Rhinolophus ferrumequinum: one gene and its partners. The protein of the gene in region 4 interacts with the protein of the main gene of each other region in a pairwise test. Links are inferred from orthologs where the notes say so. Each region holds a gene or a part of one and is shown on either strand. Other genes may lie near its edges.

Region 1 (7,324 bases), on a different chromosome or scaffold from region 4:
AAATTCTTAACAAAATATTAGCAAATTGAATTCAGCAACATATAAAAAGTATTATACATCATGACTAAATGGGGTTCATTACAGAAACAAAAGATTGGCTTAATATGTGAAAATCAAGTAATGTAATACACATTTATACATATCTTAGAGGGGTTATTTTTATATAAGAAAGGCTATTTGTATATTTTTAAAACATAAAATTGCTATTATATTTAGATAACTTTGTATTTATTTTTAAAAAGTCAATATTCACAATGTCAGAAATTACACCCTAAACTTTTAAAAATTAAATGTTTAATCTATTTAAATTTACGAAAAATTTCAGATGCCAACTTAAAAGTGTGTAAGAGATACATAAATTTCCCAATGTTTTGGACACTCTCAAGCAAAAATGTGTTAAGACTACACTGACCCCAAATATGCCTGAAATGACAAGGGGAAAAAGAATTACTCATGCCAAAGGAATGCCACCGTATCTTCAGACAGCCAATAATAAATTCTTTTTAAAACTGACAAATTCCAACTCCTTTTCACTACTACCCCCAAATTAATTTACTCTTACAGAGTACCCAGACCTAAACCTAATATTCCAGGTGTGAGCCAACCAGTTCCGGGGTCAAGTGATGTACCTCCCTCATTCTAGACCTTCCGTTCCCTTAATGCAACTAGCGACTGCAGGCCCCACCAGTTCTCCCAGTCTAACCACACCCCTGAATCAGATGACTGAGACTCCACTTCTTTTTATTACGTGAGCCCCTCCTAAGTCCCATCTCTACATTAACTGGTATAACTGAATTTTTTGGATCCAAGGGAATTCCTCACGTTTATATAACCCTTCCATTTCATTAAATTGCACTGGGAAAATCTTGAGATTAACCAGATGATACTTTCTCTCTTCACTTCATTAAGGCAACATATTTGATAGCACACCTTCCAGATAAGACTTCAAAAACATACTGTATATAAACAAAGTGACAGAGTCTCAACTCAGATCAACAGAATCCCAGCTATAAGTGGGATCAAACTGCTCAGACACAGATACTCAAAGTTATGACTCCATCTAATTTTAACACAATCTGGCAAATTCCTCCATCTAATTCACGGGGCCATCATAAAAGACTTAACAAATGCCTTGTTAAAACAGACACACTATCACTATGCATACTACATTCCTTTGGGCCACCATTTGCATGTCCTGCCCTGTTGTTCTGGCTGAATTTATAACTTGAGTAACTGCTACTCTGGCTGAGAAGAACAGAAAAATGACACATTTTCCACTGTGCATTAACTGCAGAATCTTAGAAATGAATCACAAGGATTTAAACATTTTCTAGTCCAGTGTTTTTCAAATTACAGGCCCATTTCAGGCCCATTAGTAGTCAATGTAAGTGAGTTGCAATCAACTTTTTTTCTTTCAATGAAATGGTGTCAGAGGGCCTCATATGTAGAAAGGCTAAACTTTTGTGGTGTGTGTGTGTATACACTGTGCATACAGGGGGCATACTGAGTCATGATGTAGTTAGTATGTACCTAACTGGGTCATAATTTAAAAGTTTTTTGTTTTTTAATTTTTTTTTAACAGGACTTTATTGGGGAACAGTATGTATTTCCAGGACTTTATTGGGGAACAGTGTTTTTCCCAGGACCCATCAGCTCCAAGTCAAGTTGTTGTCCTTTCAATTTTAGTTGTGGAGGACGCGGCTCAGCTCCAACTATAGTCACCAGTGTTCAATCTTAGTTACAGAGGGCACAGCCCACCATCCCTTGTGGGACTCCAACCCGCAACCTTGTGGTTGAGAGCTCGCGCTCCAACCGAGTCACCCATCCACCCCTCAAAAAACTTTGAGAGAAACTTTGCTAGTTCCGCAGCCCTACTCCCACAAGGAAGCGCCATCAAAAAATTCTTAGTAATCAAAAAGTTACATTATTTATAACCATCTTCACTTCATACAAAGAAACCAACAAACAGGAATTTTGTGCTCAGTACACCTATCTGCTATTCATTTAAAAAAAAAAAAAAGACTAGAATCCATCTGAGGTTTCCAGTTGATATAGGGACTTGCTCAGAGACAGTCACTTAGGCTTTGATGGGATGAAAACCAGTATCGACAGACAGCAGAATGAAATTACCTTAGTCTGAGGCCAGGAAAGAAAAGAAAAACTATTCTGGGTCTCCAGTTCCTCATGTTAACACGGAAGAGGATCCTAGCTCCAGAATTGGGAGATTTATTGAAAACCAACTGGCCAAGGAGGCAAGAACTATGCCTCCCACACACCAAAACACGTTCACCACGTCAACAAGTCAATTATTGATCAAGTCAATCAATCTCACACACAGAGTACTGATGAGCAGCTCAGACTTATACCACCACCAAGAAAGAATCAAGAGGCCGACCCCAGGATTCAGCAGAAGCTGGGCCCTGGCAGGTGTCATAAATTTCTCCGCCACCCTTCCCTTTCAGACCCCAGTTCACCTGGGTCCTCAAGCTTTCAGTCATGGATGTGGCACTCGCACTCTTCCCTGCCACCCTACCCTACTGTGGAAAGGGAGATGAGGCACGGAGCAACGAGTGGCCGCGCCGCAGCAGCCATCAACAAGGCCAAAGCAAGAGCCTAGGCCGCTACTGCCTCCCACCTCAGCCAACTCCCAGACTGTCCGGACACCCGCGGTCCTCTGCTCCCACCTCGAACCACACACCCCCCGGCAGCCCCGAGTTCCTGGCCCGCTGCGTGCCCGAGGTGGCCCCACCTCGTGCCCGCCTCCATAAAGGTCTCCGAGGCCTGGAACCCCGAAACCTAAAAGCAAACTCGCCTGGCAACCCCGGAAGCCCCCTCTCACGAGCGCCCACAAACCAGCCGCCGCCCCTCGCTCCCACCTCCACGCCGTCGGGCCCGTGTATCCTCGGCACACCAAGCCGAGCCGACCAGCCGCGCCACGGAACCCGGAGACGGAGGGGCCACTCCACGCCCACCCCCACAGCCGGGGCCGCCACTGCCGCCGGAAGCGCCCCGCGTCTCCACGCCGCCGTCGTGAGGTCACTTCCGGCGCGACGCCTTGGAAACCTCAGGGTGCGGCTTTGGGGGGCGGGGCGCCCGGGAAATTTGAGAGCTTGAGAGCCAGACCTGCGGCCTCCCGGAACCGCGCCGGGGCGGCCGTTTTGCATGTCCTTTCTACTTATAGCGGCTGGACTCCTGGTTAGAATCGGTGTCCCGCCGCCCTCCCCGGCCCAGATGCCGGGGGACTCCGTTCTTTCTTGCATTCTTGAGGACAAGCTTCGGCTTTCCCTCCCCGCTTTGCGCCAATCTCCGAGCAAGAGCGGAAGACTGGGGGGAGTGGGGCTGGCCACCCCGTCCTTAATCAGTGGCAGCTGTGGGATGCTATAAGTAGGCTCTCCGGACGGATTATAGGAAACAAGAAATTCCCTTCGTGGCTGATCTTCAGTTTATCAGCTTATGTTCATTTGGGGGTTGTCAGCCAGTCTATGCTTGACCACCCCCGTCACCCGCCCCCAAGTACTTTGTACACGCGCAAGTGCCACTCTTCCCGTGGCATTTTAGTTTTGGAAGTCTTGATTTTGAAAAAAACAGGCGTTTAGGGCTACGACTGAGTGTAATGAGGAATGTTAGAGTTTAAAGTTTACGAGGTCATCTTGAAGCCTGACAGCTAGTTTGGGAACCACTGGTTGGACAGGGAGTAAAGAGTAGGGCAGCGATCCAAACCTGACTTTTCAAAATCAGTTGATGAACTTTATAAAATTTCCACTTTCCAGGGACTCCCCTCCTGTCCCTCATCACCAGAGATTCCAGTAAAGGAAGAGGTGCAGAGATAGCCAAGGAAATGTGGGTAAGCTGGCCCATCCAGGGAAATATTATACAAGTACCGTGTTTTCCTGAAAAAAAGGTCCAGTTAAGATCGTCAGCCAGATGGACACATTTAGTATGTTATGACGACATTCCAGAGGAAGATGACATGACTGTATTTGAATAAATGTAGATTGTTGTACGTGAAAAAATAAGACATCCCCTGAAAATACGCCCTCATGCATCTTTTGGAGCAAAAACTAATATAAGATCCAGTCTTATTTTCGGGGAAATACGGTATAAGACCTGGTCTTGTTTTCAGGGAAACACAGTAGTTCAACTGGATGGAGCATATATGTAAAAAGAGGAAGTGATGATAGATTGACGTACAATGATAAGCAGGAGCCATATCCAAAGGGCTTTCTATGCCCCAAGGAGCTTGGTTTTATCCTGAAGACAACGTAAAACAAAGACGTTTAAGCAAGAAACTATGGTGGGAGTGAGACCAATTGACAAATGATGACAATCCAAACTAAGGTATTACAAGTTGGGTTACAAGGTGTAAAGGTGTTGAGGAGATAGGATCAACTCCCAGGTGTATGGCTAAGGCAAAAGATTGTTTGGTGGTGCTACTTACTCAGATATGGAATTGACAAGAATGAGGAGGATGTGGGCAGGCAGTAATAGAGGAGGAAAAGGAAGTAGATGATAAATTCAGGTCTGCATATATTGAGCTTAAGGTACCTGTGGGAGCAGTTAAAAATCCTAAGACTTGGAAAACTGGGGGCCTTGCCCTAGATCCCACACTTTAGATGGCCCCCACTCTGGTTCTCAAGCCAAGCCTTTCTCTGTGGGGCTAAGGAGACATGATTACCTAGAGCTCACACTCCCACTTTCAGACCTGCTCCATTTCTCATTCCTGGGATTCCCAAATGTCCTCCCAAATGACCTGAGTCCACTTTCAGCCCGTAGCCAAGTCTCTTCCCCAGGTTTGTCCTCCTGAGGGTGAACTCACTGCCATGGTGTGAGACTCCTAGGCCCAAGGGGTGGCCAAAAACATGGCTGTTTGGGAACAGTGTGAATGGGGCTTGGATATTTAGGCTGGGATGTTCACAATGTGGACCTGAGAAGCCCCTCACAGTATGGGATGGAATAGGGGTGGGAAGAAATGGGGAACAGGTCAGGGATCTCGTGTGTGCTCTTGCCCTGGCCATGCTCATGTTAGGGAGTCTGCTAACTAGATGCTCATGTTAGGGCCTCTAGTGGGAAATGGATCATGGGGGTGTGGCGCTGAGGAGAGAGATGAGATTTAGAAGTCATCAACAACCAGGCAGTAATTAAAGTCCCAGTAATGGGCGCTGTGGTCCAGGAATAACACACCACATGAGAAGGGCCAAAGGCCAAGGACAGAACTTGGTGGAACACCAGCATTTAAGGGATACACACAGGAAGAGAATGATTCAAAGGAAATTGAGAAGCAGTAGCTAGGAAAACAAGAAAACCCAGCAGTTGAGGATGCCAAAGAGACCCAGGAAAAAGACTTTTAAGAGAGTCGTCAACAGTGCTGACTACTGTGAAGACGAGGAAGTCTGAAAATGTCCATTAGACTTAGCAACCAGGAGGTGCCTGGTGATTCTGACAGGGGTTCGAGCGTGGAGTGAAGGGGCCAGAAATCAAATTTCTGTGGGTTGAGGAGTGAATGCAAGGTGAGCAAATGGAAGCAGTGAGTGTAGAGAACTTCAAGAGGTTTGACTGTGAAGGTGAGAAGTGAGCTATGACAATAGCTATGGAGGCAAGAAGAAGGTGACAGAATTTGCTACTCACCAAGTTCTTCTGAAGTCTTCCCAAACTCCTCAGTTAGAGAATTCCACCAGGAACTGCTGGTTATAGACAGTTGTTTGAGCTGGATGGACCCTTCCCGGCCCTACAGTCAAGTTTCTGGGGACCACTGTAGATAAGGGGGCACCCACTTGCCTCTCCTGATGTATGGAGACTTGCTTCTGCTTTCATGTGCTGCAGTCCTCACTACCAGTAACAGTCGCCAACAGGGACGTCAACCATTGGAGAATTAAATAAATTCTTAGGTTGAGAATAGCACAGCACTAATCCACAGTCCTTGACTTGCTGGCACGTCGTGGAGTTCTAGAATGGCAGAGCTGGAAGGAACCTTAGAAATGGCCTGCTTCACCCCCATTAATATAAGTGGGGGTTTAGCAAGTTAATGGTGGATCCAATACTGGGATTTGGGTCTCCATTACTTACACATAGAGGAACATATGTCCTGGTTTGCCTGAAACATTCCCAGTTCTTCCCATTACCCTGTCATAAGGATCAATATCACCCCCTTTACTCTCAAATATGTTCTGGTTTAGACAAATTCTAAGTCACCCCACTTATCTAGTATAGGTTTGGGGGCTAAGCAAGCCCCAAATTACTAATTACTTAAGATTATTTTTGCTTTATGTGATCTAAAAGGTTTAAGTGTCTTAAACTCTTACATGTCATTTTGTAAGTGAGGTAATGTACATGAAAGCAGGTCCTGGACTATAAAATGCTAAACAGAGATTAGAATTAAAAAGAATAACTTTGGATTGAGCAAGCATTTCTTAAATATAACACCAAAAGTACAGGCAACAAAAGAAAAGATAAACAAATTAGACTTCATCAAAATTAAAAAGTTCAGTGCTTCAAAGAACATATCAAGAAAGCAAAAAGACAACTTAAAGAATGGGAGAAAATATTTGCAAATCATATCTGATAAGGGTCTAGTATCCAGAATAAAGAACACACACGCCTCAACAACAAAAAGATAAACAACTCCATTTAAAATGGGCAAATGACTTGATAGGCATTTTTCCAAAAAAGATATACAAATGACCAACAATGAAGAGGTACTCAACATCACTAATCATTAGGGAAATGCAAGTCAAAACCTCAATGAGGTACCACTTAAGACCCACAAGGATGGCTATAATTAAAAATAAAAATTAAAAAATGTAAGTGTTGGTGAAGATGTGGAGAAATTAGAATCCTTATGCATTGCTGGTGGGAATGTAAAATGGTGCAGCTACTGTGGAAAACAATGTGGCAGTACCTCAAAAAGTTAAACATAGGGGCCGGCCCGGTGGCTCAGGTGGTTAGAGCTCCGTGCTCCTAACTTCGAAGGCTGCCGGTTCGATTCCCACATGGGCCAGTGGGCTCTCAACCACAAGGATGCCAGTTCAACTCCTCGAGTCCCGCAAGGGATGGTGGGCAGCGTCCCCTGCAACTAAGATTGAACACGGCACCTTGAACTGAGCTGCCGCTGAGCTCCTGGATGGCTCAGTTGGTTGGAGCGAGGGCTCTCAACCACAAGGTTGCCGGTTCGACTCCGGCAAGGGATGGTGGGCTGTGCCCCCTGCAACTAGCAACGGCAACGGCAACTGGACCTGGAGCTGCACCCTCCACAACTAAGAGTGAAAGGACAACAACTTGAAGCTGAACGGCACCCTACACAACTAAGATTGAAAGGACAACAATTTGA
Region 2 (6,929 bases), on a different chromosome or scaffold from region 4:
ACAAGATTCAAACCCAGCCTGGCTCAAGGAGCCAAGCTCTCCATCAGTAAATCAGACCTTTAGGCCTCTCACCTTTAATTAGATTTATTCAGCAATTATTTTTTAAATTAATTCCACAAATATTCATGGCATACCTGTGAGTCAGGTCCCTGGTTTTTTTGGCCAGGACTGAAAAGTGCTTCCATTCCCAAACTTCAAATCTTTGAAAAGTCAGCCTTTTGTCACTTGATTCAACTATTCAAAACACGTCTGGTTGAAGCCTGTGTCTGTCTGGTGCTGCAGTTTTTGCTCAGTAACACCTCTACCTCTTATGCACCTTCTCACTTGACACCCTCTACTTCTCAGCATCCAGCACAAAACTCCATTCTTTAGGAGAGCATGGGGTTGACCGTAACCTCCCTTGATAAGGACACCATACTTCTGTTAATGCAGCCTATCCTGACATCAGTGTTTTCAGCCATGTTGTAGGTATCAGCGCTGCTAATGCCAACCTGAGCCTGCCTTGTGGTTCACAGAACTTGTCAGGTGCATCGCCCCCAACCTGACATAATAAGGAATCTTGCTTTTATCTCATTGAATTGTATCTCCTTAAATAGACACCATTCCCTTCTCTTGACTACTACGGTATGTCCCTTCTGACTCAGAATGGATCCTAAATATGACTGGTTAGTTGTTATGGACTGAATTGTGTCCTCCTAAAATTCATGTTAAATTTGAAAGAGATAATTAAAGTTAAATGAGATCATAAGGGCGGCGCCCTAATCCAGTAGGAATGATGTTTCTATAAGAAGAGATACCAGGCGTGCACATGCTCAGAGAAAGGCCATGTGAGGACAGCGAAACAGTGACCATCAGCAAGCCGAGGAGAGGCTTCAGGAGAGACCAACAGCTGGCCCCTTGATCTTGGACTTCAAGTCACTAGAACTGTGAGAAATAAACGTCTACTGTTTAAGCCTCCCAGTCTATGGTACTTTGTCATGGAAGCCAGAATTGATTAATATGCCAGTCTCCTGTGTCTCTGTCCAAACCACAGGTAACAAGATAGAGCTCTGTGGCTCACCACTAGATACTTCTCCAGGCTGTATTAACCTGAAATAACCCAAATAATCTAATTATAACCTAATTATAACCATTAGCATCAGCTCCTGATTTTCCAACTTGTTCATGAAAATGCAACAAGAACTGTTTTCAAAATGACTTGCTGAAATGCGGAACTACCACAGCTATGTCATTTCATGATCAGTCACACTAATAATCTTATGCAAACTGCTCTGTCATCTTGGGCAAATCCTGACCTCTCTGGGCCTCAGATGCCTGGTCTGTGACGTTTCGGGATGTGTATTCCACCGTCATAACCTTTATTACTACCATTTATCGAAAATTTCCTAATTGCCTGGTTACCGTGCCAAGCACTGTACACACACCTCACTCATTTAATCCTCTCAACAATCCCATGAGATCCCATTTTTCACCTCAGGAAACTGCGGCTCAGAGACGTCAAGGTGCTTGTCCAAGGTCACACAGCATGTGAATAGCAGGGTTCTAAGAGGAGCCTAGCTGGCTACACTGAGTGCAGGAGTGCATTTCCCCATCCTGTTACCTGTATTTGTTCTTCTTCCTTGGTGTGAGGGTCGCGGTACTGCCCCTGGAGGAGGTGGTCTCAAAGCTTCTGTTGGCCCCCGAGGCCTGTGAAGACTCTGTGCCCACTCCTTTGGTTCTGTTGGCCTTCTCCACCCAGGGTGGGTCAAAGTCTGGTAGTGTGGGCCGGGTGCCCACAGGGCTGCCAAACAAAGTCTCATCCACATACGATGGCTTGGCCTTGACTTGATAGCCACCCCGGCAGCGGTGCTGGCGGTGAAGGCTCTGCATCCCAGTAATGGTCAGCTCCACAGGGGTCTTCATGCCGTCCGTAGTCCCAGGTGACAGTGGGCCTGCTCTGCCTGCCAGGCCCTGCCTCCAGGGCTCCCTGTGAAAGGGGGTCAGAGTGCCACCCCTGTGTCATCGGCAGTGCCAGCAGATCAGGGATGGCAGTCTCTTAGGTCCCCAAGGTTCTCCCTCAACAGCAAAAGGGTCAGGTTCTCCCTCAAGCAGTCCTCCTCAAAGGGGAACTGCCAACCCCAGGGGACATTTCAGAAATTTGTTTGACTTGTTTTTAGTTGTCAGAATGATGGGGGTGGATGGGTCTTACTAGCAAGTGTTTAATAATTATGTATTCCTAGCATACAGTGTGTGCTCAATATTTATAGAACGCTTACGGGGATAAAGGAAAGATGGGACCTGTGCCCATTTTGGCACCAACCAGAAAACAAACAATGGGGCGAGACAGGACAGGTCCCTACATCCTGTATATATCTATGGGGAAGTAATAATAATCCGTTTTGATCTCATACCTACCTCGTGCAAAGAGCTTTAGAAACATCGTCTCATTTAACCCTCTCAATAGTCTTGGGAAGAAACTTTATGTCCATTCTACAGATGACAAAACTGAGGCTTCAAAAGGTGAAGTCACATGTGTAAGTCACACCTACAAAACTAAAATAGAAGTGGAATTGGAACCTGACAGGAGTCCAGAGCTTGTGCACTTAACCATTCTACTATAGGGGGATCCCTCCCCCACCCCCCACTACCCCACACGCCCCAATCCCCAAGTCAATGCCCGGGTTGACGTCCGACGTCCCTGAATTCTTATTTCCTACCAGAGCATCTTGTCTCACGGATGCCGGCTGTAACCCTCAGTGCCCCTCCCCACCAGCTCTGGACTCCTCTGTGGGGGTGCCTGAGCACCCGCGGTGCATCCATGACCCCCGTTTATCTGGAGTCGGAATCCCGGAGCCCAGAACCCCCCGCCCCCGGAACCGCGCGGACTGACTCACCCCGGGTAGCCAGGCCCTAGCGACGTGTGCTCCGCGCGCGTCTCAAACAGCAACCAGCCAGAGGCGGGGCGACACGGCCGGAACCATTGGCTCCCGGGAGGGGGTCCCCCTTCTGAACGCTCCCGGAGATGCCCAAAGCCTCCGAGAGGGGCTTCGCGGGCCAGTCAGGGGATCGTGAGAGGGCGCGCCGAGCTCCCGCGGCGGCAGAAGGGGCGGGAGCGCGGCCAGGGCCGCGCCGGTGGTACGTCCCCGCAGACTCCGCCCCTTCCCGTTTCCTGGCGCCGGGGCCCGCATGGCGGCGGGTACTAGCCCGGCGGCTGGACCGCGGTCCCGAGCTGCCATGGCCCAGTGGAGGAAGAAAAAGGGGCTCCGGAAACGCCGGGGCGCGGCCCCCCAGGCCCGCAGCAGCGACTCGGAAGACGGCGAGTTTGAGATCCAGGCGGAAGATGACACCCGCGCCCAGAAGGTTAGCGCGGGGCTGGGACACACGTTGGAGCCCGAGCCCCGGCTCCGCGCAGCGCCCCGCGGCCTCCGTTTCCCCAGCTGGGGAGTGGGCACTGCGGAGGGTGGGGAGGGGTCGCCTGGCCAGGAGTCCGGCAGGTTTGCCGGCCTGAGCACGTGTCTCGGGCCTGTCAAGCCCCGGGTCCTGGCGGCTGGAGCCGGCGCGTTCCAGAGGCTAGGGCCTTGGGGCCTTCTTGGCCGGCTTTTGTTCGCGCCCCTCATTGGCTATCTCCTACACAGGGGCGGGTCCTAGTTCCGTTTCGTCCAATGAAAAGTGCGGATTTTGAAGCTCTGAGTTTGGAGTTTAGGGGATTCTTGAGAGGTTGAATTTAGGGGAGGCCGGACGCCGCAGTTTGGGACAGTGACGCCCCCAAACCTCTGGGAAACTAATAGTAATAAATTAAACTTGGGTTTGTTTACCGTTTACTGTGTGCCAGGCTCTGTGCTAAGAGTTTTAAGGAGCCTTATCATTTATTCCTCACACCAACATTGTAAGCTAAGTATTGTCGTCCCATTTTCCAGAGGAAGAAGCTGAGGCCTAGAGGGTTAAAGGAACTTGACCAAGACCTCATAGCTTGTAAGTAGGAGAGGCAGGATTCAAACCCGGGACTGTCTGGTTCCAGGGCCTGTGCTATTTCCGCTACTGAGTGCCAACTGTAGGCAAATGGGGAAGGAGGGCAGGTGTGTGAACACCAAGCAGGCAGAACTAGCTCCTTATGCCCCTCCGCCCTGTGCCCAGCCAGTGCCTGGCACAGAGCAGCTCTGGGTAGGTAGGTGAACAAGCAGGTGTTTATATGAAGAGGGGTCTACACTCCAAGGCAGGGACCAGACCTTGTCCCACTGTTCCCCATCAAGCCAGTGCCTGGCACATAGTAGGTGCTCTAAATTTGGAGTAACTGATAAAGGTAATGAGCAGCACAGGAGGAGGGCAGAGTACTAAGTACCAAAGAGGAGCCCACATATGTGCGTGGTTCAGATCAAGGGCTTTGTCCTGGCACAGCCCTGTGTTCAAATCTGGCCCAATCCTTTTTTACTGGCTGTGGGACATTAGAAAAGTTGCTTAACCTCTCTGAGCCACATCTGTAGAAGGCAGAAGTTTCCACTTGTGTAGAACGCAGATGAGTATGTGTACGTCACAGACTGTGAAAGGGATTAAATGACGGTATTCGTATTTTCTGCTCATTCCGTAAATATTGGTGGGACACGGGTGTGTTCAGACACTTTGTTGTCATGTGTCTAGAGCACATGACTGTAAAGAACCAGATGGTAAATGTTTTAGGTTTTGCAGGCCTGTATAAGGTCACTGTCTCCTTTGTTTGATTTTTTACAATCTTTTAAAATGTAAAAACCATCCTTAGCTCATAGACAGGCTGCAGCTCTGACCTAGATGGTGTAGTGGACCATAGAGGGTCACAATGCAAAGAGCACAGACTCTGATCCCCCACTTGCTGTCTAGCAGGTGACTTTGGGTCGGTCACTTCACTGCTCTGTGCCTCAGTTGCCTTCTCTGTAAAATGGATAAAATAATAGTTCTCGTTTCCCAGGGTACTAGTGAGGATTAAGTGGGTTAATCCACAGCAGCAGCTGGCTTAGAATAAGTGCCGTGTAAGTTCTAGCCATTATTATGAATTAGTGCTCCATACGTGTTATTTCTGAGAGGAAGGGGATAGTCCTGTAGTCTGAGAAGGCTCCCCAGAGGAGGCGTCTGGGTTGGACTCAGCTGTGTTAGGACAAGTGGGTTCTGGATGGGCAGAGAAGAGGCAGGCATGACAGAGACTGGAGTTAGGGAGAGGTAATGAATCAGAAAGAAGATTGGGGAGAGGGGGCAAGGCAGCTTGGAAAAATCTAGTACCTCCACACATAGTAGATGTTTTGATGGGCTCTGTAGGGTTTTTAATTTTGAAGGCTTTGATTGACAGGCTAGAATGATGATTCTGATATCACCATGTGCTGGGCGCCATTCTAAGCGTCCCGCATACCTGTTTAGTCTTCACAGCACCCTGTGAGGCATATACTTTTGTCATCCTTGTTTCCCAGATGTGGAAACACAGACTCAGGGGGATTAAGTCCCTTGTATGAGGTCTCACAGCTGGTAAGTGACAGAGTTGGGATTGAAACGCAGGCAGTCTGTCTGCAGATCCCACTCTCTGCCCCTTTGCCCTGTCTGGCCCAGTCAAAAGAGAGCCTGCTAGCAGAGAAGTCATGTAACCTGGCAGGCGAGTCATAGGCTAGAATGGGGGGCAGACTGGGAACAGGACAGCCCCCCTCCCTGCCACCAGTGGTCTCATGGTGCCTGGAGTTTTGCTGCCTCTCTGTTCCTCCCCCGCAGCTGGGACCTGGCAGACCACTGCCCACCTTCCCAACCTCAGAATGCACCTCGGACGTGGAGCCTGACATGCGAGAAATGGTGCGAGCCCAGAACAAGAAGAAGAAGAAATCGGGAGGCTTCCAGTCCATGGGTGGGTGAGCCAGCCATCTGGGGATTTGGGGAGTAGCAGTGGGGCCCTCCGTGCTCTGCTCTGGGCCCAACACTGTGGTAGGTGATGGGTTGACCAAGGCAGCAGACATGGTGTCCAAGCCAGTCAGGGCCTTCTTGTGGGGACAACAGGCCTGACACAATGAGAAAACGGTTAGAGCAGGACTGATGGTGACGCTGGTGCAGGTACAGGCAGAGACATTCGGGATTTACTGCGTGACGATGGCATTTCAGAGCAGAGAGGGAAAGATGGAATAATTGGGTGGGATTGGGACACCCGGCTAGATGGCAATAAAGCTGAACTCTCTTTCTTGCTGCTTACAAGTCAGCATCTGGAGCAAAGATTTAAATATCAAGATGAACATTTTTATCATCTTAGAAAGGAAAAGAAGGCCTTTCTAAGTGTGACCCAAGCACTGTTTAATTGGACTCTTTTTTCAGTTAGACACATGTATGCCAAAAAACACTGTAAACTAAGTTAAAGTAAAGTGCTATCAGGAATATATTGCAACCTATGGGACACACAGAGAGTAAGTATCCTTTATATGCTAAGAGCTTTAACAAATCAATAAGAAAAGGACAGGCACCCCAGAGAGAGCTGAGTGAAGAACATGAATAGTCAGCTCACAAAAGGAATCTAGACAGCCAATTACTATATTAAAAATGTGCTAACATTCATCAAAAATCAAAGAAAAAAGCAAATAAAAACATCTACATGTGGTTATTTTTCGCCTTTCTGAATTACCAAGGTAATTGCCCAGAAAGCAGCTAAAATCACGGCGCTTTCCTGTCTCTGGGCCTCCCACCCTCACAAGCCCAAGTCGCATCCCGTCTCCAGAGCCACCTCCTCGCCCTGATAGCACCATGTGGCTCATTTGTCAGTGGCCATGCTCGCAGCTATCACCGGCCCTTGTCATGGAATACTCTCTTCTTTTAATTATAAATTACAGACGTATGAAAAATGGAATCCTGCGGGTCTCCACGTACCCATCACCAACTTCAGTGGTGTTCAACTTGGCCTTGCTTTGGCCACGCCCCACTTACTTGTCCCCATCGTCCCGGAGGAGTCTGAAGCGAGT
Region 3 (7,239 bases), on a different chromosome or scaffold from region 4:
ACCCTATCAATTATAAGATACATACACTGGCACTTTAGCACAAGGGCAAACTTTTAAAAACATTATTTGGACCTTTAAAATTAGGCCATAGTGTAAAAAAGTCCATGGTCTTACATTCAGCAAATTCATACTAAAATACTCTATTTTTGTAGGATAAATGCCAACAAAACTTTACATATGCTACAACTTTATTACATATATTTACATGGCTCTTTTCTAGGTACTCAAAATTTTCACATTATATAGCTCCCTACTTTAAGCAAGCTTTGCAGGGATGATTTGAGGCCAGACCAGTAAGAATAGCTTGTGCAGTGCTATAATACAAAAATGTATTTTGAAAGCTACTCTGCTGACCATCAAATATTGTTTTCTATAAAAATGGTTTTGGTGCATTTGTTGGCAATCACCTATCCACTGCATATAAGAAATGGGGCCACTGGGGTATAGTTTCATTCTAAACAACCCCGTTGCCCCTTCCACATTTACTAAACTGCAACTATTCTCTAAGAAAAATTCACATTTTCTTTTGGCAGTGCATCAGGTTGTGTTGGTTTTGGTGTTTCTAGGACATTAAACTTGCAAATACTCAACTAGTTTTCAATCCCTGTATGTTAACTAGATGCTTATAAGCAGTTTCACTAGCTTTTAACAAGTAAATCGACTAACTTATTCATGATAATCTTAAATCAGTATTTTACCCCAAAAAGCAATCAAGTTAATTTTTTACCATTCCCCAAATCTAAACTTGGATGGTTTCACTTAAGTTACTCAATTGAGACCACTTGATGTCTGGTACAGTTATCAGTAATTTAGTTAAGTTGCACTGATACTACCATTACATCACAGTGCACACCACACAAGATGAAGTCTAGATTTTCTACATTAGCAGTTTTACACAGATTAATTTCCCTAATGAATTTGGTATGAAACAACTGACAACTACCCTTAAATTAACTAAGTTTGAACATCAGTACTTTATCTTATTTTATACCTGTACTTTAAGTAAGGTTTTAAGTTGAAATGTCATTATTTCCTTATCAGAAGGATTAAACGAAACAGGAACCCAGTGGCTTGGTGGTTTAGGAAGAACACTTGGTGATGGCGGCTCACTAAATTTGGCTCCAGCATAGTTCTGATTAGTCTGAGACTTAAAAAGCAAGCTGGGACTTGATAAGCTAGAGTTCCAATTTTGATTGTTTGGAAAATTTTTGTTCTTCCCCCCATTTTGCATGGCCTGCCATGCAGCTGCTGATGCGTTGTAAGTGTGTCCTCTTTCTTTTTTCTTATGAACAATCTTCATCTGGGAATTTTGATCCTTGGTCTTCTGTCTATTAAGCTGTTGTTGGTTCTTACTAACATTTCTAGATTGAGGGGCTGGAATGTTATACCTCTCTCCACCACCCATCTTCAGCTTCTTTGTCACCTGTAAGTGAACGGAAACAAAATAACTGAATAAAATTCCAATAAGAAAAATTCAAAACGTGAAGAAGCTTCCATAGCCCCCAACTTGCAACTCCAGAAATCTGGAGGGAGGCTCAAAACTGTGCTATTCGGCTGCTTTAATTTCATTGTATGTTCACACTTCGTTATGCATAGTTTTTATTACCTTCCTAAGAAAGATGAGCTTACCCACAAATCTGAAAAATCCTCTATTTCAAAATAAAAACAATAGGGTAAGTCCACCATAAAAATGCCCCATTACAAGGTGAATTTTTTCATACCTTTCAGTCTGCTTTTCAGATTGCAGGATTTCCACTACCTGTCCTCTTCCTTGCTGCCAAGCCCAGGATAATAGATGTTGCTTTCTGATGGATCCTTTCCTTTGTCTCAATACAGAAGTTTTCATGGGCCAATCTGCTGATTTCAGCCTAGGAGCTGAGGCCAACATCTGAGTCTCCTCAGCACACAAGTTTTGAGACAAGTCCTAGGTAGAAAAGTATGCTTCATTAATTCAAATCAAAAACAGAGGAGAAACTGACCATTTATATTTACTACAGAATCAGTTAACTAAAGAATGGCTACTTCCTGAACTAAAAGGCAGAAAATCTGAAGATGGCTTTCTTTGAGCTTATAACTGTCATCATTTAAGAACTCTTATCATCATCCGCTTTGATACCCAGGAACTCCTTCCTGGGGAATTATGAGATGGGTTTCTACAAGTCCCCTAACAAGTTGTATCTTTTTCCTTGAGACCTTTCAGATTCTCAGTTTTTGTGACCACGATGTTAATTTAAGTCAAACCAGAAAAGCATTAGCCTTTACTGCCATGACAAGGGAATTGGGTTAAAATTAGTTTCCCGAAGAGACCTTGTTTGTAAAGTCCCACCAGAATTTTTCAATCTTTCAACACATCACATATCCGTTTTCACAAAGCCTCTTCTCCCAATCTACATGCACTTTTCTTTAGTTGGGAACACTGTCCACTCCTCCCCGTTTTAAGTTTTCATACGTCGTAACCTAATCCAGTTCCCATCTTAAGTATATAAAAACGCCTCCCCACGGAGCACATGACAAAGTCAAGATTTTTCATTTGATATTCCAGGAAACCAAGTTATCAACAAGCCCTCTTCGAAAGGGTAATAGGGCCTTCAAGGCTATTTTAACAGCCAGGAGTAAATTACGAGTTCCCAGACCTAGAGACATTCACAACGCGAGCCCGGAAAGTTCACTTTTTCCGATGGGGCTCGGCTTCCGAGCGGCTCCATCTTTCTCAAGCCCTGCCCGGGAACCCGGTCTTCCCGGCCGCCCGCGCCCCGCCCGGTTCCCGGATCTCGCTTCCTTCCACCAACAATGGGGAGCGCGACGGCCAACATGGCCGCGCCCGCGGCGCCGCCGCCACTCACCGACTTCAAACTCGGACCGCGGTAGCGGCGGCTCCTGCTCGGCGACGAAGCCCCCTCCCCTTCCAGGGAGAGACGAGGCACGGAACGAACAAAGCCCACGAGCACCGACGAGCCCGCTAACCACCTCGGCAACTCAACCCAACCTCCTCCTTCTGCCTCTACCGACAAAATGGAGGTGGCGACGAGCGCAGAAGCGGAGCCGAGAGGCATGGCGGCCAATCAAAACGCTCCAACGCGAGGCCCGGCCAATGATACACGAGCCACCGCCTGTTGCTGGGGCGGCCGGGGCGATCGAAGGAGGAGGTGGTTGCGGAGGGTTTGAAATTCTCCGGGAGAGGAGCACGTCGGGAACAACTGCTGCGGGCCCTCGGCTAACACCGGACTCTTTTTAGAGGCGTCCACCCAGCTGTTCTCGGCACCCCCAGCCGTGGTGGCCTCCGCCTTCCGCCCCGGCAACTCCCTGGGATCGCGACGCCAGCGCCCCGACTCCAGGAGCCAGCTTTGCCGTCGCTTGATCGGCACCTGGATGGGGCGTCAGCAGTCTGCGCCGGCAGCAGCTCCAACCTGGCTCTCCGGCCCGCGGGCCCGCGGCCCTTAGGACCCGGCTGGTTTTCCTCCCTGGGGGAATTACTGAAAGGGCCATTAGGTTCCCGAGTTCAGGTCGTGGAACTGTTTTACAGCTGGGAGATTCTCAACAAAGTTGCTTTCCGACACCTAGCCCCTGTTCCTTGGAGCCTGTCACTCCCCTCATTCTGTTTCTCGGCGTGAGAACTTACTTGCAGCTCCCAAAGCTTGCGGTTCCTCCTGTCCTCCCCACCCCAGCTTCGAAATTATTCAGAAGTTGCTTCCCCTGTGAACGCGCTTCCGACGCGCGCGGACCAGGTCAGTCACTTCCTCTTTGTGTCCCCACTGGTCCGTAAACTTCGAGTAGAGCCCTTCCTCCTGCCGCATCGTTAACTGCTTGCGACTGTGTATCTGCCCACCCATCCCCAAAAACACCCTCGAGGGGCAAGGCCAGGTTTCATTTTTCTGAGCACAGTGCCTCGCACGTTAAGTGCACAAGGAAAGTTTGTTATTCCCCTTTGTGCCCAATTTGCAAGTGAAAAGCAGGAGAAAAGATAATGCCAGCAAAGTGCAGGGAAAAGGAAGGGCAACTTCTGCGGAGTGAATGGATAAGCAACCCAAAGTGAGTGTTTTAAAAGAGAACACCAATTCTGTGAACGTTTTCGTTACAGGATTTGTATATATATTTTATAAGTCCCACATAACTCAATTTTAAATCATCAATTTTTCACTGTCATCATCCCCTACCACTATGTTCTTCTAGCTGTGGGCCTTAAGTTTTCTTAAGAAAACTACTTAAGCGACCGTATTTTAAAAAAGGAGTTTGTTAATCAAATTAATTTGGCAAAATGTAGAAGAGATATTTTTGAGGATGGGACTTTCTGGTGCTAATCATATTATAGTCAAATAAGATGTACTTTACTGTACATGGTAAACAGCTGCTAGGTTACTGACGTGTAATCTATTTCCTAAAACTTCAAATAGCTGGCTTAGACATCCGGCCAGAAAACAGCCAGGCTGTGTTTAATGGGTCAAAATTTTGATTTCAGAAAAGACCCATACAATATATTTTTTTATTATAATCTAATGGTTTGTAACATGAACAATCTGTTTTCAATCTGAGCATTTTCTTTTTCTAATTCGTTTTCATCCCCCAGATATCTTTCAAATTCATCCCTGCTACACTCCCACCCTCACCCCCTTCTTTCTCTGTATCCTCCACGGATCTGATTGTGTCACTTAAAAAACAAAAAACAAAAAAACACTTTAGCAGCCCAAAATGGCATTACAGAATTCAATTGTTCTCCAAATCTTATCTGTATAAACACACAGGTAATGTATTGGATACTTGTAAACATGCACATAATATATTGAATACTTTGCCTCCCTGCCCTGTGCTAAACTGTTTTGCTCACATCATTTCATTTAATTTTCACAAATTATGGGGTAGGATCTATGTTGATCTCCACTGGACCGATGAAGAATCTGAAGGTCAGACAGTTTAGAGCTGAAAGCTACACACGCAAGAGTCCAGAGGCCAGGCTCTATGCTGCCTGTAGCATCTGTGTCTGAATCACCTCTGTGTCCTCCCCAGTGCCTGAAAGGTGCTTTGTCCAGAGCAGACACTGACGGGCTGCTGGGGCTGCTTGGGCAGTATGAAGCCTCCATCCTGCTGCCTGGCCGAACCAGGTTCTTTGCCAGAACGTCAAGAGTCAGGTTGCCCTCAGGAGAGCACTATTAAAGCCTTTACCGTGTCCCAGACTCGCCGCAGCCTCTCAATATATAATAGCTCCTGCCTCATTCTTCATTAACGTTTACCGAAAATCACACCCTCTTCGGACATCTGATACAACCTCCGCAGGCTGGTCTTAAAATCAGTTCCACCAACAGCATCCAATTAGTAGTTCTCAGTTCAAACAGGAAAATGTTGCTGCAAACAAACAGCTTTCAGGATATAGATCAGCCATCAATGCTAGGAGCCAAATGCATAATAAATACGTGGGTATTTAACACCAAACATTTATTGAACAAAGATTTATCTGGTGTCTTCTTTGAAGCAGGCACTCTGCCAAGTCCTGGGGATACAACAGTGGATGATACTCCATCCTGGCCCTAAAGGAACTCAAAAGCCCTTCCCTTTACTACCGTCTTTCCCCAAAAATAAGACCTACCCCGAAAATAAGCCCCGGTTAAGATCGTCAGCCACACGGACGCATTTAGTACATTATGACGATGTTCCAAAAGAAGATGACATGACTGTATTTGAATAAATGTAGATGGTTGTACATGAAAAAATAAGACATCCCCTGAAAATACACTCTATTGCGTCTTTTGGAGCAAAAATTAATATAAGACCCGGTCTTATTTTCGGGGAAACATGGTATTTATCAGAAAGGAAAGCTGGTGTCTGGGAGATTCATTTCCTCAGTTTTTCCCTTGAGAGTCAAGGACAGGCAATGCCGATTGTAAACACAAAAATCAACCTGCTAACATCACTAAGGACTGCGGGTAACAGACATTGTATCGAACCCTGTGGAATGGACGGGAGAAGGAAAGGATTCCCACACTTGCTGAAGTCCTTTCCTTACCTAATGTATTAGATACATTACCTAAAGGTGTTTCTGAAAGTAACAATCCTCCTTTGGAGGACTGGCAAGTTGCAGGCTGGTGCTTATTGTATTTTAGATCCCATGAGCATTAGGGCAATTGGGGCAATCACCCTGGTTTGCCAAACCTGTGGAACAAATCTCTAGTTGGACTCCCAAGCTTTCAGGCTGGGTGACTTACCGCCCAGTGTGTCGATTTCAAAAGAGTTGGTTTGGTTATTTTTATTCCTCAAGCTTACGTATGAATTCAGAGTACAACTTTGAATGCTTGCAGGTCTGTCAGCTGATGGCTTATTTCCGTTAGGTTCTAGAAGCAAGTTCTTGGAACCTGACAAAGAGTAAAGGGGAGTGCCTGCCTGATGTTTTGATGGATCTTAGGGCCCTGATCTCGTTGCCAAACTGGTATCAAAACACACACCCCTCCATACACGGTGAATTTTTTTTCTGGGGAAGCATCTGCTGCGTGTTCCCAGTTGCTCACACATTCCTGAGCAGTTGCAAATCAGTTCTCGGCCATTATAGCCATTTCCGTCTGATTACTAAATGGGGCACAGGAAGTCAATGCTAAACGCCCACAGGTCCTGTGACTCTGACCCAGGGGCTCTCAAATTCTGGGAGCTTTAAAGGGTTCTGATGCATGAACGCCCACTCCAAATCAAATGTTTTGAGGCTGGATGTTTGGGTGTTCCAGTTCCAGCTGAAGAGGAGCAGAATATGCCACTCCAAAACGTGGCACTTTGGCGTAAGGATCATTTTGAGCTAAAGTCACTAGAGAAATAGCAGGTGCCAGAAGGTCATCTCATCCCACCTCCTTTTCTTCCTGAAAACAGGAGAGAGTGAAAGATGTCCTCCCTATATGGGGAAGAAAGAAACATTCTTACCAGAAGAGATGAGGGTTTGAGGTGGAGAGAATTCTGTATAAACAGACCTTGTCAAAATAACTATCTTCTTTTACTGTTTCCCTGAAAATAAGACCTAGCCAGACAATCAATCAGCTCTAATGCATCTTTTTGTTCAAAAAATAATATAAGGGGCTGGCCCAGTGGCTCAGGTGGTTGGAGCACCATGCTCTTAAGGCAGAGGTCACCAGTTCGATTGCCACATGGGCCAGTGAGCTTTGTGCTCTACAGATAAGATTGTGAACAACAGCTCTCCCTGGAGCTGGGCTGCCATGAGCAGTCCGAGGTCGGAATGAGGTACTGTGAGCTGCCGTGGGCTGCTGTGTG
Region 4 (7,292 bases):
AAAACAAAACAAAACAGAAAAGATCAACTTATTTATTCTAAAATTAATCACTTTTGAACAGGTCAAGTAAGTCTCTCTCTCCACAACTACTGTTACCAGATTTTTTGGTATCCTTTCCATGCTATTGATGCATATTAACGTACATGCAATGTTTGATCCAGCAACATGCCTGTATCTGCAGCATTTTTCTTTTACAAATTTTAAAGGAGAAAAACCTAGAATTAGCTTTCACTTTTTAAAGCAAAAACGTTTTAGCCAGATTTTTAATTTTTTTAAAAATAAATTTTATTGGGGAATATTGGGGGACAGTGTGTTTCTCCAGGGTCCATCAGCTCCAAGTCGTTGCCCTTCAATCTAGTTGTGGAGGGCGCAGCTCAGCTCCAAGTCCGGTTGCTGTTTTCAATCTTTAATTGAACCGGCAACCTTGTTGTTGAGAGTGCGCACTCTAACCAACTGAGCCATCCAGCCGCCCCTCCGGAAGCTCAGCGGCAGCTCGTTTTCTTCAATCTAGTTGTGGAGGGTGCAGCTCACTGGCCCATGTGGGAATCAAACCCGCAACCCTGTTGTTCAGAGCTCACGCTCTAACCAACTGAGCCATAGGGCCTCCCAGATTTTTAAATTTTAAAGCAAGATCCTTGGTACAGCAATTTCTTCACTTGTAAAGTTTCTCAAATTTAGTAGGGGAAAAAAAGGAAATTTTATCTTATAGGATACTTTGTTTCATCATTGGGGGATTTGGGTATACTTTCATTGAGTATCAAATGTGGTTAGTTAAGAATTACTGTCAAACACAACTAGTTTGTTATTTTTAGAACTTTGTTGAAGCATCATGAATACTGAAACAATTCTCTGGCTTAATGTAATTATTGTAGGTTTTACAAACAATTAAAAAAATTTTTTTAGCTTAAAGTGAAATGTTTTGATTAAGAAAGTACAACTCACAACCTTCTTTAATTTGCTGTGACAAGAGTGTATTTAGGTCTTAAATATAGTGACAATATCTTAAAAAACAAAAACAAATAACCATATTAGTCTGCATTTCAGTCCAGATAGGGCCCAAATATTTTAATGTAATCAACAAATTGTTAGAAAACTTTATCAAATTGAATTTGTTGGGATAAAATTTTTTTTAAAAATTATTATCTTGATTTCTTCTAGGAGTATTGCCCTAGTTTATGTATCATCATGGAGCTTTTCCTTCCTAAGGATTCAGAGGCTTTTTCTTGACTTTCAATTTTGTTATTAGTATAAGAAATTGGTAATCAACTGTCTCACAGTGAAAGAAAACATGCCCAAACAAAACACTATGCAGTCACAACTCACTGTAAAATAACAAAGAGAGAAAAGATTTTAGTTATGCTCTATGTGCCATAATCCAAATGAACAAACAATGGCAGCTTATTTCTCAATTCAGGTTATTATGGCTTGTATTTCTATTTTTAAAGAACTCCACAATTAACATTCCAAAAAATTCAAAGTCTGTGAAAAATTAGAAAAGCTGGTTAGTAAATCAATCCTTGCCCAAGTCTTCAACATTTGTCTGCAATCCATATTTCACAAATTTATGTGTAGACCAAGAAAAGAAAAATTATTCAGAACAATTCAAATTAAGGCAATGTCTAAAACGGCTACACTTAAAAAAAGAAGAAATCTGTAATTTTGTTCTTTGTGGCTTCTCATACCTCTTCCAGATCAAGGAAAGAAGAATACAAAGCAAGATATTTTGACAACTGTTTTCATCTGAATTAAAAATGCCAAATGATTTTCACAAAGTTACTGTATAAATATAACATATCTGTATTATATTGTAAAGGACCATACTACGATGATCATCTTTCAGAGTTTTGTTAGCATAAGAATTTTGTTTCTTACTGAAATGTGAACATCAATAATTTATGAATTCAATCCATCAAATATTTACGATTATTTTCTAAGTGTAAATGTAAAGCCTATAACTGAATGAGTTCATTAAGGGTCAATTCTAGAAAACAGAAAATTGTAGTTTTAAACAACAAACGAAGCTTCAAATGGGTCAACAAATCAGTTCAGTGAACAGACTGTAACTTTTCGGATCCCCTCGCGTGCAAAAAAAAGCTTAAAAGTATTTAGTCTGATGTGAGATTTTGGAGGTGACATCACCAGCAGCATAGGTGGAACGAGACACATTTACAGGGTCTCTTTTCCAAAGGTTTCAAGGGAATCCAACTAATGTGAGAGCCCTTTTTCTAAGTGCCTTGAATTCTTTTCCAAAACTCTGGAAATACAGTGTAGTTCGATAAAAGACGGACTATCCCCACTTCCTCTTTTCCAAGAATTGAAACTAATTGGATTTCAAGCTTTAAATCCAAATACCTGTGCGAAAGGGGCTCTTATTTACGTGTTTGTGGGGGGGAGGGAGGAATGTTTACTTTATAGATTATGTATATGTAATTTAATTAATGCCCCTCAAACCCTCCATCTTTCAGGCATCTTTCTGACCCCACCGGTCTCATATCCTCTAACACATCTGCGAAGAAGGCAGGTCGCCCACATCCCCGAACCCGACCCTAAGGGGAGACTGACCCTCCTCCAATCCTCCCCTCTATCGGCTTTTCCCCCGGATGTTTTGGGCCCTACTTCTCTTGCACCTCTCTCCCAATCCCGGGCCCCCAACATCCTTCAGGCGCCGGCCAGGCTCTCCTCCAGCCCCTGGAGGCGTCTATGCCGCCTTGGCCTCCAGCATCGCCCCCAGCCCAGGGTGGTCCGCGCGGCCCCTTTAAGAGGCGGCAGCCCGGCGGGCGACCTCAGTGTCCTAGCGGCACTCACCCACTGGTTGGCCTTGGGGCAGAAGGTGTATAGAGCGACCTGACCAGTAAGGTCTGCGATGCTGGTGATGTAGGGGTCGTGCTGCTTCAGGGCCGCTAAGCTCATCTCCTGCCCAGCTCGACTCAACGACTCCATCTTGATTTCCGGAGCCGAGCCCCTCCGAGGGGGCGGAGTCGCGGACAGGAAGGTGCCTTCGAGGCAAAATTCCCCCAGTGCGTCAGCGCCTGCAACTTCCGCCTCTCCGCTGGGCCTTGCAGCGGGGCGCTACGTTAGCTATTATGCTCCGCTGCGCTCATCCCCCGGGCACCAGGTTCCGGCGTCCTTGGGTCCTAGGTCCCCAGCCATCTGTCTCCGCGTACACCTAAATGCGGCTGAGCTGGCAGGCGGGTGTCCAGGCGCTTCCTTTCCGCGGACTAAACTGTCCCGAGGTCCGGAACAAGGTGCCCGCGAGTTTTCTCCGAGCTCCTGCCGGTTGAGGTTGGAGACTGACGCGGGCCTACTTCGGCTGGCTCACGGGAAGGGCCCGGGGCGGTAGAACGAAAACCTCGCCGTGGCAATGAAAGGCTCCCCGGGCCGTTTAGAAAGCACAGAGAAGCGGGGAGGTAGAGACCTCTCTTCGGGGAGAGACCCCGAAACTTACCCCAGATCTAAGAGCTCACTAGATCACTACCGTTAGCAATTTGGTATTTTTCTGAAAGAAAATTTTGGAAAAAGCCAAACGAATCCTCATGTAACTACACAGGAGTGTCTTGCTATCCATTTTTGTTCCTTATTTTCCACGTCTGAATCCCAGGTAAATCTTTACATCCTGTCTTGGGAAGAGCCTGGGAAGGCTTGAGTTTGTCGTGCATCATTTAAAGATTTTAAAAAATAGCTCATTCTTTTAGTAAACATTTCTTGGACATTTTAAGGCATTTTAAAGAGCTAGGTACTAGCTAGAGAAGAACAAGGTGTAGAGACTTGGAGGGAGCTCTGTGTCCCCCCCCCCCTTAAAAATTTTTTTAAATCGAAAAAATACTCCAATGGAATGTAATTTTTTGAAATGAAAAACCCCCATAACATAAGTATTGTTTATGATTTTACATCCCAGGACGATTTGTTAATGGAAAGAGGATTCATGTCTTACATTCTTTTCAGAATCACATAAGAAGCATGTACAAATGCAAACAAGGAAACAGGTATTATTCATTAAGCAAGTATTTAATGAACTCCTAACTACATATGAACTGGTAGGCCTTTGGGAGCCTCAAAGACGGCTTAAGACAACTACCTGGCTCTGGGAGAAACCCCAAGCAGTAGGACAATGCAAGGAAATTGGGACAGTGTTAGAGATGGTTCTCTTGAACCTAGAGGATGGAACCACCGACTCCATCTCCTCAAGAAAGTCTAGGAAGGCTTCATGGAGGAGGTAATGTTTGAATTAGTGCTTCAGGAGTTAGTAGCTCCTTCCATTTCACACTCCAATGGTGAGGTAGAGAAAGTGTGGTCCTCCTCGTTGGACAGATGATTTAATTGAAGCCTGGTGGAGAACTCACTGGCTTAAAGATCCACAGGAGTCGGGATCTGGTATAAGAATACTGGGACTCCTCCCTTTTACCCCACGGTCCTTTTCTCTACAGCCTGGCTGCCTTTCTTCCTCCTGAAGACACAGCTGTACACCTACTTTCAGACAAACATTTGAACAATCTGTACCCTAATTAAAAAAAAAAACCACATACAATGTAAGTACTTTTTGAATAGGTACAAAATTCAAAGGCGCACCTGAAACTGAATTTGATTTTTTCTTTCTAAAAATTATTATTTTTTTATTGAGGTATAATTGACGTATAACATATTAGTTTCAGGTGTACAATATAATGATTTGATATTTGTATATATTGCAAAACGATCACTGCAATAGTCCGGATAACATCGGTCACTATAATAGTTACAGTTTTTTTCCTTATGTTGAGAACTTTTAAGATCCACTCTCCTAGCTACATTCAAATATGCAATACAGTATTATTAACTATAGTCACCATACTGTACATTACATCCCTGACTTATTCATTAGTTATTTTTTTTTACATAGATTTCCTAAGATAATGTAAGACATCCTTTATTTATTATTTTTGATCGAGCAGGGCTAGACTAGTGAAGAACACCAAGATATTTTAGGGAGTTTTCATATTCAGAATAGAAAATCCCTTCAAAATGCACGTTTCTGTGCCCCAAAACATGTTAATGTCTTTAATGCCCTATATAGCTCATAAAATTTATTAAAGAGAATGTGATAATTTTGGAATTGAAAATCATCCTTTCTTACTGTGCGGTCTGATTTTGCCTTAAAATATTTGTCAATCAAACGTTAAGTCATTTCTATTTATTTATTTATTTATTTATTTATTTATTTATTTATTTATTTATTGGGGAACAGTATGTTTTTCCAGGACCATCAACTCCAAATCAAGTTGTTTTCAATTTAGTTGTGGAGGGCACAGCTCACTGGCCCATGTGGGAATCGAACCTGTGACCTTCGTGTTATGAGCACTGCGCTCTAACCAACTGAGCCACCTGGCCACCCCATTAAGTCATTTCTTGTGTCTTGCAGGTAATAGGCTCTGAGAGAGCAGAGATTCACCTTAGTCTATTAGGTCCCCAGTACCTGGCACAGCCCCTGGCAGAGTAGACTCAATAAGTGTTAGTGAATGAATGTCATCTTAAAATCCAACACCTTTAAGGCCATAGAAGAGACTAAAAAGAGGTGGGTGCCTGGGATCAGAGGTGGGAAGGAGTCTTAACTCTGCACTGGAAAACCTTTGGTCACTTTTGAGTTGTGTTTCATGTCAATTATTTTTTTTTAAAATACAAATAATTTAAAATATGAAAAGGTAAACTCCAATCATCCAAACCCCACGTCTCTCTGACTGGGTGGCTTTGTAAAAAAAGAAAAAACTTTCCATTTAAAATCATGGGGTCTAAGGTAGAACTGGCTAGAATCCTTGTCAGAAGGTCAGTGTTTTAGTTCCAAATCTGCCAGCTGTGTAACTTTGTCAGTTAGTCACAGACTTCCCATTTCTCCAGTGTAAAATCCAAAGTCCTTGTCATGGCCTGGGAGACATTCCTCTGTCCGGCCTCCTGCTGCCTTTCCATCTCCACTTTCCATGAATTGCCCTTTCAGTTATTCCACCCTAGTCTTCCTAGCCTCCAACCTCCTTGCTATTCCCATATATACCCCAAATGAGTCATGCCTCAGGGTCTTTGTACTTGTTATTCCCCTTTCTGGAACATTCCTCTCTCTGGTATCTCTGTGATATCCTGTCGTCCCTTTCCTCACTTTCTCATCAACATAAGAATGTCCAAACCTGTAGAGAATTTTTATAAGAATTTACTCAAGCCAAACTGACGACATGCTGGGAAGCAACATCTTAAATCTCTGGAGAATGACAGTTTTGCAGCTTCTTTTATACATTTAGAATTAAGGAGGGGATGGAAGGAAGCTTACAAGAAGGTGGGAGAAAGCAAGTTACAGAATACCATGTTTCCTCGAAAATAAGATCTAGCCGTACCATCAGCTCTAATGTGTCTTTTGGAGCAAAAATTAATATAAGACCCGGTCTTACTTATAATATAACATAATATAATATAATATAATATAATATAATATAATATAATACCAGGTCGTATATTAATTTTTGCTCCAAAAGATGTGTTAGAGCTGATGGTCTGGCTAGGTCTTATTTTTGGGGAAACACAGTAGCTAACAAAATTAAGTGCTTCCTTGAGGGGTCAGGAAAAGAAGATTACTTCTGGCATTTCAAAGGTGTGTTAACCTAGATGCACAAGAACAAGGGACAGGGCTGGCTTAAAAACTTTTTACTAAAGAAGTTGCAGGCCTGGGGCGTGACTTCGTACCCTGACCTACCCAGTTAGGAATTTATGATCAGATCACTCACGTTACTTTCGGTTAGATTTATTACCGCACCCCTTTTTCGTCCACATTCTTCATAACACTCATCGACAAGTTGTAATTTTTTAGTTTACTTACGTTTTGTCTGTCTTGTCAGTTCAATGAAGCAGGAACCACGTCTGTCTTGTTTACCATCACATTCTCAGTGCCTGGCCAGAGGCAAGATCTAATACGTATTTGTTGGATTAATTGGAATGTTAGGATGTTTTTTCTTTGTTGCATAAACCTGAGAGAAGGGATGGTTGTTTCAACTTCACATCTAACAAAGCATTTGTTTGTTATAAGTGCTAAACAAGTAATAATGCCTGATTTGCTTGTATTAATATATTTTGATTCTTAGGCTCTATGCCTCCTGAAGCAAATACAGTTTTAATATAGTCCAGAACAATCATTCAGCACATTTTCAGTCTTGTAAATTTCCCCATGTTTAGTTTTTCTCCATCTCCATCTCTCTTCTCTTCCTCTTTTCCCTCTCCCTCTCTGATTTTAAAGATCTGTTCAAAAAGTATCTGCTTATTACTGTTTGTCATTTTAGGCA

What was found.
Region 1: the proteins of DCP1A (region 4) and EDC3 interact in binary tests that used the Homo sapiens proteins (3 or more experiments, as listed by UniProt). The two-hybrid records come from large-scale screens. The link is inferred for Rhinolophus ferrumequinum from reciprocal best matches to the Homo sapiens genes DCP1A and EDC3.
Region 2: the proteins of DCP1A (region 4) and RITA1 interact in binary tests that used the Homo sapiens proteins (3 or more experiments, as listed by UniProt). The two-hybrid records come from large-scale screens. The link is inferred for Rhinolophus ferrumequinum from reciprocal best matches to the Homo sapiens genes DCP1A and RITA1.
Region 3: the proteins of DCP1A (region 4) and PNRC2 interact in binary tests that used the Homo sapiens proteins (3 or more experiments, as listed by UniProt). The link is inferred for Rhinolophus ferrumequinum from reciprocal best matches to the Homo sapiens genes DCP1A and PNRC2.

The regions. Positions count from the first base shown.
Region 1 is NC_046289.1:99,281,741-99,289,064, forward strand, and holds the start of EDC3 (enhancer of mRNA-decapping protein 3), read right to left. Parts: upstream 3,016-7,324; 5' UTR 2,877-3,015; intron 1-2,876. UniProt on the Homo sapiens protein: Binds single-stranded RNA. Involved in the process of mRNA degradation and in the positive regulation of mRNA decapping. May play a role in spermiogenesis and oogenesis.
Region 2 is NC_046308.1:7,991,321-7,998,249, reverse strand, and holds the start of RITA1 (RBPJ-interacting and tubulin-associated protein 1), read right to left. Parts: upstream 3,016-6,929; 5' UTR 2,874-3,015; intron 2,842-2,873; exon of another isoform or gene 2,697-2,841; intron 2,533-2,696; 5' UTR 2,395-2,532; intron 1,967-2,394; 5' UTR 1,903-1,966; coding exon 1,601-1,902; intron 1-1,600. Other genes in the region: ATP-dependent RNA helicase DDX54, read left to right, coding at 3,166-3,339, 5,704-5,833. UniProt on the Homo sapiens protein: Tubulin-binding protein that acts as a negative regulator of Notch signaling pathway.
Region 3 is NC_046292.1:16,339,956-16,347,194, reverse strand, and holds the start of PNRC2 (proline-rich nuclear receptor coactivator 2), read right to left. Parts: upstream 3,016-7,239; 5' UTR 2,844-3,015; intron 1,925-2,843; 5' UTR 1,722-1,924; intron 1,424-1,721; 5' UTR 1,406-1,423; coding exon 986-1,405; 3' UTR 1-985. UniProt on the Homo sapiens protein: Involved in nonsense-mediated mRNA decay (NMD) by acting as a bridge between the mRNA decapping complex and the NMD machinery. May act by targeting the NMD machinery to the P-body and recruiting the decapping machinery to aberrant mRNAs.
Region 4 is NC_046300.1:48,756,183-48,763,474, forward strand, and holds the start of DCP1A (mRNA-decapping enzyme 1A), read right to left. Parts: upstream 3,021-7,292; 5' UTR 2,941-3,020; coding exon 2,806-2,940; intron 1-2,805. UniProt on the Homo sapiens protein: Necessary for the degradation of mRNAs, both in normal mRNA turnover and in nonsense-mediated mRNA decay. Removes the 7-methyl guanine cap structure from mRNA molecules, yielding a 5'-phosphorylated mRNA fragment and 7m-GDP.